Saccharomyces cerevisiae S288C: one gene and its partners. Changing the gene in region 3 together with the main gene of any one other region gives a genetic interaction. Each region holds a gene or a part of one and is shown on either strand. Other genes may lie near its edges.

Evidence for each region. Genes that interact genetically often act in the same process or in processes that back each other up.
Region 1: mutations in IRC4 (region 3) and GFA1 together harm fitness more than expected from each alone (negative genetic interaction), as found in Saccharomyces cerevisiae (one large-scale study listed by BioGRID).
Region 2: mutations in IRC4 (region 3) and AHK1 together harm fitness more than expected from each alone (negative genetic interaction), as found in Saccharomyces cerevisiae (one large-scale study listed by BioGRID).

What each region holds. Positions count from the first base shown.
Region 1 is NC_001143.9:241,996-247,228, reverse strand, and holds GFA1 (glutamine--fructose-6-phosphate transaminase (isomerizing) GFA1), read left to right. Parts: upstream 1-1,855; coding exon 1,856-4,009; downstream 4,010-5,233. Other genes in the region: metalloaminopeptidase APE1, read left to right, coding at 1-1,091; YKL104W-A (uncharacterized protein), read right to left, coding at 1,943-2,197; SEG2 (Seg2p), read left to right, coding at 4,646-5,233. UniProt on the Saccharomyces cerevisiae protein: Involved in amino sugar synthesis (formation of chitin, supplies the amino sugars of asparagine-linked oligosaccharides of glycoproteins).
Region 2 is NC_001136.10:324,709-330,791, reverse strand, and holds AHK1 (Ahk1p), read right to left. Parts: upstream 4,180-6,083; coding exon 1,225-4,179; downstream 1-1,224. Other genes in the region: YET3 (Yet3p), read left to right, coding at 345-956; E3 ubiquitin-protein ligase BRE1, read left to right, coding at 4,643-6,083.
Region 3 is NC_001136.10:1,513,992-1,519,274, forward strand, and holds IRC4 (Irc4p), read right to left. Parts: upstream 3,685-5,283; coding exon 3,145-3,684; downstream 1-3,144.

The DNA.
Region 1 (5,233 bases), on a different chromosome or scaffold from region 3:
ACGGAAGAATTGCTGTTGCTCCCTATGGAGGTACACTGAATGAATTGTGGCTAGACAGAGACCTAGGTATTGGTGGTCGCCTTCTTTACAAGAAGAAGGGCACTAACGAAATTAAAAGCGCCTTGGTTGATTCTACACCCCTACCTGTTTGTCGAATTCCTTCCTTGGCTCCCCATTTCGGTAAACCTGCTGAAGGCCCATTTGATAAAGAGGACCAAACTATCCCGGTCATCGGCTTCCCCACTCCGGATGAGGAAGGTAATGAACCTCCCACGGATGATGAAAAGAAATCGCCCTTATTTGGCAAACACTGCATCCACCTGTTAAGGTACGTTGCCAAATTAGCCGGTGTGGAAGTGTCCGAATTGATTCAAATGGATTTAGACTTATTCGATGTGCAAAAGGGTACCATTGGAGGTATTGGTAAACACTTCCTTTTTGCACCACGTCTAGATGACAGGTTGTGTAGTTTCGCAGCAATGATTGCTTTGATTTGCTACGCTAAGGATGTTAATACCGAGGAATCAGATTTATTCTCTACTGTCACTTTGTATGATAATGAAGAAATCGGATCGTTGACAAGACAAGGCGCAAAAGGTGGCTTGTTGGAGTCAGTGGTGGAACGCAGTTCTTCTGCATTCACTAAGAAACCGGTCGATTTGCATACGGTTTGGGCTAATTCCATCATCTTGTCCGCAGACGTCAACCACCTCTACAACCCAAACTTTCCTGAAGTCTATTTGAAGAATCATTTTCCAGTGCCTAATGTCGGAATCACTTTATCACTGGATCCTAACGGTCATATGGCCACAGATGTCGTAGGAACTGCCCTAGTAGAAGAATTAGCACGCCGCAATGGAGACAAAGTGCAATATTTCCAAATCAAAAACAACTCAAGATCAGGTGGTACTATCGGCCCATCATTGGCTTCTCAAACAGGTGCTCGTACCATAGACCTGGGAATTGCACAGTTGTCCATGCACAGCATCAGAGCTGCTACAGGGTCCAAGGATGTCGGATTAGGTGTTAAGTTCTTCAACGGATTTTTCAAGCACTGGAGATCAGTCTACGATGAATTCGGCGAGTTGTGATTTTGCCACACTCTTTTTATTTCTTTTGATTTCTGTTTCTTTATCCTTTTTCTAAAAATACTTTTATTTCGAATCAGGAAGAAAAGAAAAATGTATAAAAAAAAAAAAATAAAACACCACAATCGTCAAGATATAAATATCTATTTATAAATAAAACATCAAAAATACCTAAACCCCAAACATTCTACTAGGAAAGAATATTAACAGTAACCACGAACTATAAAAAATGCATTTGAACACCAATGTGGGCCTTGACAGCCGTATTAGATGAAACAAACCACATACTTTTCTTGATTAGCCAAGCATTCTTTCTTTTGTGACGCCGTCGATCACTCAAATATCAATCCGGGTAACGCGCGGCTCCCTACATTTTCTTCGATTTTTATCTTTTTTTCACAAATCGAAAACATTAGACTTCCTCTTTGGGAAATCGGATGCATTTTAGCGTTTCTGAGGCGACTTTTCCTCTTCTTAAAATATTTATTTAGTGTCTTACATTCGACCCTTTTCGCCTTTCTGCTTTATTTTTGGAACACGTACTTCTTTTCGCTTACAAGAAAGCATTCTCAGTCATCCATCACACTTATTTTCACTGCAAAGTTACAGAACCGGTGTCCTTTCCAACATCATAGTTATATAGTTGAGAAAAAGTGGACAAAAAGCCAGCATAAACAAGGAATAACTGTATTTCTTTTCTTATATAGTTATCAGGGCCAAATAAGCAATAAGTTCTCGAGCAAATCAACAGCAACTTTTATAAAAAAATGTGTGGTATCTTTGGTTACTGCAATTATCTAGTGGAAAGATCCAGAGGAGAAATTATCGACACCTTAGTGGATGGTTTACAAAGATTAGAATATAGAGGCTATGATTCCACCGGTATTGCTATCGATGGTGACGAAGCTGATTCTACTTTCATCTATAAGCAAATCGGTAAAGTGAGTGCTTTGAAAGAGGAGATTACTAAGCAAAATCCGAACAGAGACGTTACTTTTGTCTCTCATTGTGGTATTGCGCATACTAGATGGGCTACTCACGGTCGACCAGAACAAGTTAACTGTCACCCTCAAAGATCTGACCCAGAAGACCAATTTGTGGTCGTTCATAATGGTATCATCACAAATTTTAGAGAACTGAAGACTCTTTTAATTAACAAAGGTTATAAATTCGAAAGTGATACCGATACCGAGTGTATTGCTAAACTATATTTGCATTTATACAATACAAATTTACAAAATGGGCATGACTTAGATTTCCACGAATTAACCAAGCTAGTTCTTTTAGAACTAGAAGGTTCATACGGGTTATTATGTAAATCTTGTCACTATCCTAATGAGGTTATCGCCACTAGAAAAGGGTCCCCTTTACTGATTGGTGTCAAATCTGAAAAAAAACTAAAAGTCGACTTCGTGGATGTGGAATTTCCCGAAGAAAACGCTGGTCAACCGGAAATTCCATTGAAATCTAACAACAAATCATTTGGCTTGGGCCCAAAGAAAGCTCGTGAATTTGAAGCTGGTTCCCAAAATGCCAATTTACTACCAATTGCCGCCAATGAATTTAACTTGAGACATTCTCAATCCAGGGCTTTCCTATCAGAAGATGGATCTCCAACACCGGTGGAATTTTTTGTTTCTTCGGATGCGGCATCTGTTGTTAAACATACCAAGAAGGTGCTATTTTTAGAAGATGACGATTTGGCTCATATTTACGATGGTGAGTTACATATTCATAGATCTAGAAGAGAAGTAGGCGCATCAATGACAAGGTCCATTCAAACTTTAGAGATGGAGTTAGCTCAGATCATGAAGGGCCCTTACGACCATTTTATGCAAAAGGAAATCTATGAGCAACCAGAATCTACTTTCAATACTATGAGAGGTAGAATCGACTATGAAAATAATAAAGTGATATTGGGTGGTTTAAAGGCATGGTTACCAGTTGTCAGAAGAGCACGGAGACTGATCATGATCGCATGCGGTACTTCTTATCATTCATGTTTGGCTACTCGTGCTATCTTCGAAGAATTATCAGATATCCCAGTTAGTGTGGAATTAGCGTCTGACTTTCTGGACAGAAAATGCCCTGTCTTCAGAGACGATGTATGCGTGTTTGTTTCACAAAGTGGTGAAACTGCGGATACCATGCTGGCTCTAAATTATTGTTTAGAAAGAGGAGCCTTAACTGTCGGAATTGTTAACAGTGTTGGTTCTTCTATCTCTCGTGTCACCCACTGTGGTGTTCATATTAACGCTGGTCCTGAAATTGGTGTTGCCTCTACAAAAGCTTATACTTCCCAGTATATTGCCTTAGTGATGTTTGCTCTATCGCTGTCAGATGACCGTGTATCGAAAATAGACAGAAGAATTGAAATCATTCAAGGCTTGAAGTTAATCCCGGGCCAAATTAAGCAGGTATTAAAGCTGGAACCAAGAATAAAAAAGCTCTGTGCGACTGAATTAAAGGATCAAAAATCTCTATTGTTATTGGGTAGAGGTTACCAATTTGCTGCTGCTCTGGAAGGTGCTTTGAAGATCAAAGAAATTTCTTATATGCATTCTGAAGGTGTTTTGGCAGGTGAGTTGAAGCACGGTGTCTTGGCCTTGGTGGACGAAAACTTGCCAATCATTGCTTTTGGTACCAGAGACTCTCTATTCCCTAAAGTAGTTTCCTCTATTGAGCAAGTTACTGCAAGAAAGGGCCATCCAATTATTATTTGTAACGAAAATGATGAAGTGTGGGCGCAAAAATCTAAATCAATCGACCTGCAAACCTTAGAAGTTCCACAAACTGTTGATTGTTTACAAGGTCTAATTAATATTATTCCATTACAACTAATGTCATATTGGTTGGCTGTTAATAAAGGGATTGATGTTGATTTTCCAAGAAACTTGGCTAAATCTGTTACCGTCGAATAAATTAACCCTTTTACTTTCTCTTCGTCCCCCAGCCTCCCATCCGTCTTTCTACTATCACTTCTCCTTCGCTTTTAATTTTTGAACTTCCATTATTCTGCAATGCGCACTACAAGCTGGCGTTAAAGATGATTCCACTTGTATTCTCTATATAAATAAAAAATTATATTTTATATGAATAACCAAAAAGATAGTTGCAGCCCTAAATTAGACCTGCTAAATAAATGTGTTCTAACTTTGTTACAATTTTTAAACCATATAACTTCCTTCTTGTAAGTCCTCTAAAATAATATTAAACCCTATCCTGAGTTGGGCCCTGCGTTTTACCCGCAGGAATAGGCCCGATGATTGATTATCCACATCAACTTTTGGTGAAATTCGAGAGAAAATAAATGGGAAGTGAACGAGCAATAGGCAATCAACAAAAAAAAAAAAGGGTTAGGAAATTCGCTATTGTAAAGAGGCAATTTTTAAAATTTAGAGTGAAAATCGCCATTCCATCTTCTTCATATTCTTCGTTCAAATTACACAATTATTGCGGGAGGAAATAGCATTTATTAACCCTAATAATCAACATAAGGCAGATAGCTCTGAAAGAGGCAAGTATCAACAAATAGTGGGAGCATTGGAAATAGCGGGATGATCCAAGAAAGTAGTCCAGATGCCTTAGCAGCAGCAGCAGCAATTGGAAATGCGCTCAGTTATAATGGGAGGACCGTTGACAAGAGTAAAATACCGCAATACAATCAGAGTTTTACCTCTCGAACTACGTCAATCGCAGGGATTAATAGGTATACAATGCTCTCGAATTCTAGGACTAACTCAAGGATGCTCTTAATGAATGGTAACGTTCGCCAATACTCTAAGCGCACGTCGAGTTTGCCAAACCAAGGACATAAGAATACCTCTAATAATTCGGCGGGGAGAAGGCAACACAGGGCTCACGAGGATGCAGAAACCACGTTTCGAGAATTTGGAGGCAAGCAGTCATCGAAGGTTTTAAACATTTCAAGTTCGACTGGTCAGAATAGTAAATCAAGGACCACATCACTTGGGAACTCAGGCAGCACAATAAGGACGATAAAAAAATACATACCAGGCCCTAGGGGGTTAATGGCTGTGGAAGTACCCGTGGAAGTAGAGCCTCCTAGATACAGTCTGAGCAACCGCTCAAACCAACGAGGTGGTAGAGCATATTCTTTGCCTACTCGAAACAACAAAACTAGT
Region 2 (6,083 bases), 1.2 Mb from region 3:
ATCGCGCATTTATTTGAGTCATTCTCTGCCGCTTTATTATTAAAAGTCTGTGTGCTATCAAAATGCTCTTGCTCCTGTTCACCCTCTATGCGTAAACACTTGCGCGTTTCTCCCTTTCTCTTTTAGCGTTGTTGACGTTGCACTCTTTTTTCGCCTCTTTCTTTTTTTAGCTAGAGGGTCACCCTGCCTGCTTCACTCCATTAAGGGGAAGAAGAGTGGAAAAGTGCCGTATATAACAATGGTATATAGCAAATCCCGATTTAGTAGGAAGATAGAATAGTGAGCTCTTCCAAGGTAACCACGTCACATTATACTCATAACCATAGAATTCACAGAATTGAATCATGTCATTATATTACACCTTGGTTTTTGCCATTCTAGTGGTGGAGATTTTCATGTTCTCCATTCTAGCCCTACCAATCCCTTCTAGATACCGTAGGCCTCTCACCTTACTGTTATTAAAGCCGTTCAAATCCTCCACAGTGCAAGTTGCGATCAAGTGTGTACTTGGGTTCATTCTTTTGCTTTTCATCGATTGTATCAACAGAGTGTACAGCATCGACAAAGAGCTGCAGTTAAGTAGCGCCTCTCAAAATAATGGCGCTATAATCGCTCAAGATAGAATTGAGGTTCTTTCTAGGAAATTCTTTGCCCAAAGGAATATGTATTTGACAGGTATAACTTTGTTTTTGACCTTTGTCGTCGTTAGGACTTTTGGGCTAGTCATAGAACTTTTAACCATGAAAGACATATACAGAGCATCGCCTCCAGTAGCCTCCAGCGATGTCAAGAAGAACGACTCTGTTACTGCCGAAGCTGCTGCTCAATCCGGCGCTTCCAAGGATGACCACGGCGATGAGAAAAATTTTGAACTATTGAAGAAAATTCAGGACATCGATGACGAAATTGCACGTTTAAAGGAGAAGTCGGAATCGTTGCAAGAAGAAATAAATTAGTTTGACGTTTTATTCCTTTTCTTCTGCACAGAAGTGTGTATATATATATTTATATATAGTCGATGTGCAAAAGCCTACATTATTTTTCTTTTGATTTTTATTTTTTTGTTCAAGTAGGTTCATGCCGACAGTAAATCCTTATGCCCTACCTAAATATAAACACCCAAATATATATATATATATATATATATATAAATAATAAAAACGGAAAGGAAATAGAATAATAATAATAATACTACACGTTTACGTATGTAACTCATTCTATTATTCAGACTTTGATATTAATAGAATTATTACTACTAGGTTTCCTCACTTCAAAATCTATAAATATACCGTCATGCTCTAATCGATTGGAAAACTCAAAATATTCTCTTACTGTAGCATTGAACGTCTCAATTAAAACACAGATTTTTTGTATCCTTGTTCTCAACTTCATATCTTGGATCTGCTTCCAAATTGTCACCTCCCGCCCCCCAGTAACTTTCAAATCTTCCACATTCTGATTACCAATTTTGGCTACATCTTGCTCATCTTCCATACATTTGCCAAAAATATTAAAATCAGGCACCGGTATCTCAAAATCTAGACCATTACCGCATAAGGTAGCTAAGTTTCTCGTCTCACTTTCGTTCTTAGCAACACTCGCAACCAAATCTTTCGGGACGGGTAAAGGCTTCATGTACTTACTGCCTCCGTGGATTGTCCCCCATTTCATGTTCGCCAAATCTATTTTTTCGACGACTCTTCTATTGGTTTGAATAAATACCAGTTTGAATATTGTAGCAATACTATTGTGTTCCTTGATTTCATTAGAAAATCTCAACTCTGGTGGACCTATCAATATATTCTCCCTCCTATTGAGCTTGATACTTGAATTATATGATACCATTGATCCTGAATTGTTACCATGCTTAAAAATTTTTTCAATATTACTAGATGACTGCTTCGGCAAAATTTCTGCAAAATCAGCCACATCTTCATCATATTCAAAATCGTTGCCTAATTCATTTGCCTGTTCCTTCTTCTTCTGTGAATCTTCAGAAGTACTTGAAAATTTTGAAAGCCAAGTGTTCAGTGTTGCCGATAAAGAACTATTACCTTCCTTTCTCTTATTTTTATGCGAGCCACTATCTTCTGAGTCTTCATCATTATCTTCGTTTTCCTGACCTCCTTCGTAGCCATCCATAATTTTGTGATTTTTTTTGGGATTTAGTCGGGTCTTCTTTTCTGCAAGAAGAAAGGCAGCTTTACTTGTCATTTCGTCCAAAATATCATAAGCGTATTTACCATTTTTCAAGATAACGTTAGGTCTTGTATTTGCCACTGAGCTGACAGAGGGAAATCTTTCTGTAGTTAAATTTTTATCATGATTAATCTTATAAACTAAGTGGTCCTCTGTATTTGGTTTTTTTGGAATCATCATCAAACGTGAGTTACCATTAAAAACGAGAGCATTCTTTCTATGCGCCACTATATCATTTGAATCGTGTTTTTGCATCTCAAATAACTCCTCCTTGTTTACCAGTAGCTCTTCATATAGTTGTTTAATTCTATCATGTGGCAAGAATCGTAATGAAGAAGAATTTTGAACACTTGGAATGATTTTAAAAACTAATACCTTCATAAATAAAATTCTAATCAAAGGAAATTCGTTTTCAAAAATCAATGACTCCCAAAAATCACTTAACAGCACTTTTACTATTTCATCGCGGTCCTCAATGGTTACGTGCTTCCAAATATTGAAAAGGCATAATAAAGAAACAGTCTGGCAGTTAACATTTTTGGTCCTTAACATACTCAAAAGCCCATTGTACCACGACCTCCATTGAATGAATTTCAGAGAAGGTAAACTTTCAAACTGGAAAATAATAAACTGGAGAACCTTATTGTAAATGACGTTCGCTGCAATATAATCGTACGCTGAAATAGTGGAGACATAGTCTATCAATAGAGACTCATGTAAGGAAAGCATATTTTCCAGGTATTCCGGATGATTTTCTTTAAGAATGCATCCTGAAAGGCTTCTAAGACATTCCCATAATTTGATTGTCTTAAAATTAGAAAATACGTAATCATTAATCCTTTCAGATGTAATTAAAGCATTGCTACTATTCAAACTCTTGAAATTTGGATGTGACTCTGTCACATTCTCATTTGCTATCCTTGGATTCGGCGTTTGTTTAATAATCCGCGTGAATTTATTCAAATCTGAATTCAAGAATCTAGTGGTTACATGCGTCAATAAAATTTCTGAGCCAGGTATGCATGACAATGTCGATTTTTTAATTCCTACATCTGAATCAGAGAATTTCATAAATTGAAGTATGATATACCAATAGTGCCAATAAAATGACATAAGTACAAAATCATTTTTAATATAAGAAACAATGATCTTAAAAAATTTAGTATCTTTATTTTCAAAAGCTTCAGTGCGGATCATTTGTCCCTGATCGTCGGTGAATTTATATTGTCTCTTCTTCCATGAAAACAAAGATGTTTGAATACTTGAAGAGATTTGAGGAGAAACTGTCAATAACAAAATTGTATCGAAATGAAAGTCTTCTGGTAGATAAAAAAATGCGTAAGCATTTAACTTCCCGATGAATGCTCGCAGCAAGGAAGAATATTTGTTAAGGTATTGCAGCTTCTTGTCGTTTATAGAGCACTTGTCATCACTATTTGTACGTTTAAGTTTTTTGGAGTTTTTAGAAATCAAAATCAACTTGTTTGTTATGCAATGAATGGTCAGCAAAAGATGATGTGAGTATATTTCCATGTCTCTGGATGAATGGAAAGGCAATATTATTAGTATGGTCATAATTTTGCTGAGGCACTCGAGACACACGGAAGTTAGTTCTATGCTCAAGCTCAATTCAAGGGCAGTATCTATTTGAAGCGAGGTGTCAGAATTTAGAAAGTTTAAAAGTGTGACCCACCATTGGGTCAAAACATCTCTAACCTCCAGTGTACAGTTGCTTCGTGAAGAATCACACCATTGTCTTAGAACCGTTAGTAGTTTCAAGCGTAAAAAATTTGAGGAGGATTTGCAAAATTTTGTATTTTGTTCTTTATTACTAGCTGACTGATTAGCATTGTTTATGAAATTGATAAACCTGTTCAACGATTGAAATAATTGAGTTTCATAATTGTCCATCAAGAAGCCATCTTGAGACGTAGTCTTTAATCCACATTCATATAGTTGATTATGTATGGCAGGACCCATGCTTAATGAGCAATATGATCTTTAGTGCTACAACAATGCGTATATAGCATACGAAGCACAATCGAGTTCAGAATTGTTTCTCTACCCACGAAAGATAATATTGGGAAAATCACTGGTGAAATTCTGAGATCGTTAATTTCAGTGGATTCAAAAAGAAAGAGCAGATCGACAATAGGCACTAAGGATGTCTTCTAACTTTGAAATGAAGCACCAACTGATCGTACTTTGATCAAACCATCGTTATTATATAAAAGTGACAAAAGCATTTGATCACGTGATTATAATCACATCCAACGAAACTTTCTTAAAGAAGGCGAAAAAACAAAAAAGAAGAAGATTAAAAAAAGTTGGATGGATGTTGTTTGAACGGTAAACTAACAGAGAGCGCCCCAAGGTTTTTAACAGAGATAGAAAGGGCTTTCACCGTTTTTATGCTAATCGTGCTAGCTGATAATAATCAGATATGACGGCCGAGCCTGCTACTAAGAAGATCAAGCTAGAATTAAGCGATCCTAGTGAACCGCTTACTCAATCTGATGTGATAGCGTTTCAAAAAGAAGCTTTGTTTAGATGTATAAATCGTCGAAGAGTCGACTTTGAAGCCTTGCGAAAGCAATATGAACTTTCAAGAAGGGAGTGCATAGATGTTTCCCGCAAGTTGGCAAATATTATGGCGCTGATAGTAACTTTAGCTAGGTTTATCGAAACATTCTGCACAGACGCCAACGAGAAGCAACTATGTAGGGAAATAGCCCAAGGCGATGAGACGTTGATAGTTCAGCGCAGTGATTCTTTCATGAAGCTACTGACTAAATATGGGAAGCCAAACACGACAGATAGTAATACTAATAGTAATGCTTCGGATCATATTCAAGAATTAACAACGGAGTTAAAAAACTTGCGGAAAAGTAAAGAGGAGCTCTTTTATGAAAATTCGCAATTGACAGAGGAGATTTCTGCTTTGAAGGAATATTATACAAATATAATTCGCAAGTATGATAGAGATGAATCCTTTACTATAAAACGTGTTTTTAAGGAAGATAAGACTGATGCTGTAAAGGAATTACGGGAAGATGAAAAAGAATCTAATGAAAACAATATAAAATCTGGAAATAAAGACTCCTCTGCAATTAATGGTGATAATACATCCAAAAAATCCGAGAAAGGTGATGAACTTGTGCAGGCGGAGGATGAACGAAAAGAAGATGCTGAGAATGAAAAATTAGAATTGGATCTGAAATTTTCTGATTTACGGGCAGAGATAAACTCCTTGAGTTCCACTATAAAAGACCTTGAAAATATCAGAAGGGAAAACGAGGAAGAGCTCATCAAAACACGTTCTGAGGTATCCAATTTAAAAAAGCAACAGATAGCAGCAGCAGACCAAGACCCAGATTTCAAGTCATATGACCATGAGTCCCTGTTAGCAAAAATTCAACATTTGACTGAACAAAACGCAGAATTATCTGAGATCAATAGTTCCTTTTTATCAAAATTTCAAGTTTTAGCCAAAGAGAAAGAAATATATACGAAGAAGGTCCGAGAAGAATTCCAGAAAAGTCTCGACTCCCTAGTAGAAATGAACAGTTCATTGGAAAAGGACGTTGTAAGAATAAGAACGGCTCGTGATGATTTACTAAGCAAAATCGCCATTTTGGAAGCTGAAAAATCCAAGACTGAAGTGTTGAGCGATTTACAACATGCAATTGATATTTTGAAGGAGCAATGGACAAAAATTGATCAAAGATCAAACGATACAAAATCCTCGTCGACTCAAGATGCATTAATAAAGGAAATTCAAGACTTAGAGAAGGGTTTTAGAGAGTTATCCGACTTAACTCATAAAAAGTACTCTGAGATTATTAATCACGAATCTGTTATATCCAAGCTTACCGTAGAAAAAA
Region 3 (5,283 bases):
CACCATGATGATGTAGATGCGTAATACTCTATAAATGTAACATCGTTAAAGCATTGGTTATTTTAATTTCATTCTATAAACCAATATTTCTGACAGCACATAAAAAATAAATGGACTATATTAACAGCAAATATCGGTTAATCTAGGGCATAATTATTTAACATCAAAAAGAAAGTTGCTAGTTGTTCTAGTATTGCTCGGAGTACCTCAAACGGTAAAAAGATAATATTTGTTTCCGCTTTTATCATTGAATAGCTTAGAAATTCTCTCCCTAGCGACCATTTAAGGAATGTAGCTAACAAAAATGATTCAAGTATGTTGCTCCTAAGCAGATATGTACTCTATAAGTTGAATCACTATATCATTGAAATATAGTGGCGAGGGCGTACATAAAATCAAAGGAACTATGCAATAGACTCAATTAAATGCCACATAGCTATTTAAGACTCCAAATCTCCAATACAATCATTCGTTAAAGATTTTTTGTATTCTGCTGATATCTTTTTCTACAGTTTCTTGAGTGTCTAGTGATTGCATAAAATGACCACAGTATTTTTAGTACTCATGGCCTGTATGCAATTGCAAGGAACGGTATTACTTTTACAAAAACCCTGCTTTCCGGCAAGTTCAGCTGTCATTTGGTAAGATTTTGAAAATAGTGGAAACAATGGATTATCAACGAATAGTCTTTAAACATAAGTGCTAAAATTCAAAACATCATTTGATGCGTGCGGTGCATTTTTTCGTGCTGAATGAACTTTTGGAGATATCTGCCTTCGCCAATGAATATGCATTACCATTAATTGCATAGTAACCGTATACATGAAAATGGAAATAATGAACTGATTATTAAAAATAGCTAATGCAGGTGGGATTTGAGACATTGTGGTTATCCTGTCAGCCTGTATTTTGCGCTTTAAGGTATTTCATAAAAGTTAGAATAAAATTTAAAAGTTCCATTCTATGAAACTGTAATTATAGGTATATACTATCATCTACCAATCTTACCCATGTATAGTTCTAATATTAAAGACAGAGTAGGTAAAAAAAAAAATGGTAATCAAAACGTGATCGCTTATATTCGGTATGGACAAGCTTTGAATATTCCCTAGAAAATGCAATAGTATGTCATAATGAAAGAAGATTGTAATACAATGCTTGGAATGTCGACCGGCAGAAACCCGTGTCACATGGCCTTATTCAACGTGACGTTGTGATATATGTAGAACATGCTTTAGATGAGGCGGTATTTGACTGTAGCATCTTCTAAAATGTGCTGATATTGTTAAATCTCAATCAAACTGAGAGAGTATGAGAGACTGAAAAAGTGGGATTCTGCCTGTGGTGCTAATATCCTTAAAATGCTAAACTGAAAGAAGTAATATAATCATATATATTGATCATGTATCATACAAAAGATGCATGTATTTTAGTAATATTAACTGCTACTATGATGTAGTAGACGATCGATAATCGAATCTTGCGGTATATTCTAGGATCCTTCATGTTGAGTTAATCGGTTATACTTCTGTCGCTGTGGCAAACTGATGTATGCGCCAACTTGAGACCATTGTCTCCACATTACAGAGGTGCTTCTAAGTCATCTGTTTCTAAACACTTTAGCTTTCTATAATATTCTCTTCTAGCGACTTTCCTTTATTGTCCTATTATATAAAGCAATCATACACGGAAATGTAAACCCAGGTCGCTAGAGTGTGTATAAAGGAAGATTATTTTGAAAATTATGAAAGTTTTCTAGATGTCTGTTTTCTTTATGCAGGATATTAAATACAAGTTTGTGCTTAAGAAATTTCCATGAAGATATCAACATTTATTGTAGGAATTGCATAAATAGATGAATTATGTGCCGCTGGACGTTTATAGATAGCATAAGCACAATGACTTAAAGGTTATAATACTCATTGATATCACTCTGATTATAAAATCGTAATATGCGAATAGGTGAACTAATCGGAATAACCCATACGACACTTCAAGCTTCAATTCTATTTCAACTGTAGTGCCTGCTAGTGAAGAATACAAAAGTAGCATACGTGATGTGCAAAAAATGCGCTACTTATCACACAAGTACCTTGCGCAAGAAGGGTACTCTAAACCGGGGCCATCGCATTACCAGACGGAGATGTATTCTTTATGAAGCAATAATTGGAGGTGTATCAAGTTCGAAACTGCTGATGCTATGGATTTACATCTTTCTTATGCACAAGGCTTGCTTGTGTTTCTGAGTAGTTAGTTTTTAGATTTTTGTCAAGTCTGGGGTAAGTTAATTCGAGCAAAATTAACGGCACGTTATTCTAATGCATATGTTGTTCATATATTCTTTTACAAAGAGGTTTGGAATGATGTCACCGATGTTAGAATGTTAGGAGAATTTCATGTGAATTTTAGTCCAAGTGTTGAAGTTCTCTTCTGCAGTTAGGGCACGTACATGGCAACGATATCGTTTTTGATGTATTAATCTTAGTAGGCGTTGAGTTTGTATGTTACTTTTCTCAGGTGATGAAGCGTGATGACGATGACAAAAATGGGTTATAATAGGGCGCACTATCATCATGCGTGATTGATATTTAACCAATGTCTTGAGTACATCAACTCCAGAAAATGGGTCATTATATGCCTAGCATGTATTATTTGAGACATAAAGTTTTATCTCGAGACCTTGACGTATAGGAAAGATCTTAATCAAGTGACATTACTTTAAAATTTAAAGTATGTGCCATGTATACCATATACGATAGCAGAATGTGACACAAGCTATACCATACGTCTCTGATCGACATTCATGTATGGTATCGTCTATATCTTTGTTGCTTTAAAGGTTAGCGTATAGTAAGGTAAATTAACTATATGATCAATACTGTGTGTGTAGAGTACAATAAAATATATGGGAAGAACATAAAAAGTTCGTATTGTGACATGTTATTGAGGCTATGGTAAGCGTAAGAGAGTTTTGTCTTTATACTGCTGTACATTATATGAGGTTTTGTTAAATTGACTCATAATAATCGAGATTCATTTCTCAAATATAATAATATCAAAAAATATGATATTAAAAAAGGTTTTCCTGTGGTAGTTTCTAAATCCTGCAAGAAAAAAAATAGACGGCCATATACAACTTTCTCATTATATCTTCCTCCTTTTTATGCGTTGTTCTTCAGGCACTAGTCTCTTCCATTTTCTAATTTTTCCTCTAAAGTTTGTGAAAGGAGCAACCGTGTTGATATGGATCCATTTATACACAGGCCACATAGCTTTAGTTGTAGCCCATTTTCTATTTCCCGCTTGAAAGAGCTCATCATCAGATAAAGTAGATATCCATTTATAGACCTCGTTTACGGCCTCTCTCAGCTTGGCTCTTTGCTCCTTAATGGAGTAGATTCCGTATTTTTTATAAAATGACTGGTATAATCCTCCTAAATTGTTCCATTTATAACCAGGCGCAGGAGTTTCCACATTATACCCAGCAATTTCCTTTGCTTCCCACTCTAATAATAAATTAACCCAGCCCAATTGATAAGAGAGGTTTTCAGAGGGTGTTCTATCCACTGTTTCAACTTTTTCGTCTTTTTGAGATTCAGAGATTGTTTCAAATTCTGCATCATATTTTTCATATTTTTTTTCAATCTCTTCCTTTAGTTCTTTTTTACTGGTATATTCTCTCATGATAGTTTTTTTTTTTTCAATTGTTATTATTTAATTCGTTTAATTACCAATCTATAGCGATGTAAGTCTCACTATTAGCCGCTATTAGATTTTTTTCCATTTGCCAATATTGATTTTTAATCGCATTCATTATTTGATCAAATTTATATTAGTATGTACACACTCAAATAAAAGAAAATAGGGAAAAAAAATTTGCCTGCTTCAATTAGGCTTTTGGTACCTGATATCCGCTCGAGATTAAGTGCGGCCCTCTCCACCCGATAAGGAACAAAGGGCATGCTTCCTTTTTTAGCTTTACGCACTATTGTCAAATTGTTTATATAAACAGGCTGATATAGAATTCATCCTGAAAACAATGGTAAAGTTTTTCTTATTGCACTTCGCTATCCTAAATTCAGGGTTGAGATTTCTTTCTCTTTATGAATTAATGTACGATACGCTTCAGCCTTTCGGCAGTGCATACATATCCTAGCGCGCTGATAGTTGGCCACGTCACTTTCTTGCGCTCCGTAGCATCATTGTTCTTTGACGTAAGAACGCAAACTCTGGCATTATGGAATGCATACCGGTATCTGATAATAAAAATCTTGGATACTTTCCTACAGGCCATCCGGAATCATGTCAGCACAAGAAACAACCATATTCCACTACTGAGGTTCTTATGATAGTACCATATACTTACAGCGTTAGACGATAACAACAAATATAATATTAATTGAGCAAAGTTCTTTACTGTCATTCAAATCGGTGAGTAAGAGTAAAAATTGACAATGAAATAACATCTATGAATGAAATCAAGGGAAGTTTCTGAAGTAAAAATTGACCATTATTCACTACTAGTAGTCGCGTTATTAAGATAATATACTGAATGGAGTTAAAGATGAGATAAATGATGAGAAACAGTCTGCGAGTATAATGGAACATGAAGCGCAAGGGCTGATTTTGTAATAAGATAATGAATGAAAACGTGTAAAACAGATAAAGAAATAAAACAGATTAATGTGTAGAATTATCGATTCCCTTTTATGGATCTCTATGTCCCCGAGGAGCACTTCTAGTGTATTCTGTATAAGTAATAATATTATCTCAAGCAATAATGAATTCCCAATAATTATCTCAAAATCCACTCACTCATAATAATTATATATGACGCATTTAATTTCAGCTCTATGTGCATAACATTAAAATGGAAGATCAAAAATTACACTCTTCACACATAAGTGCAAAATATAGAATCATTTAAGCAATATTGCATCCTGCATATGATTCTGCGTTTTTTTTTTTTTCATTTTGAGCAGAGGAGATTGAGCAAGGATTTACGCTTGCACAAAGTATCCTTGACTTGAAAAGGAAGTTAAAATCGCATGAGAAATGCAATAACTTTATCGGTACGCCATATAACATATGAACATTTTTTAGTAATATTATAGAAGAGGTGATTGAAACGAGATAGTACGCGTAGCAAAACAATGGTAACTAGTGAGATACATTACCAAATTATCCCTGTACTCTTGTGATTTCGCATCAATTTTTCCATATGTTGAATTACAGAATTCCAAAGGCAGGATCTCTGATCTACTGTTTTCTATAATTTCTTTG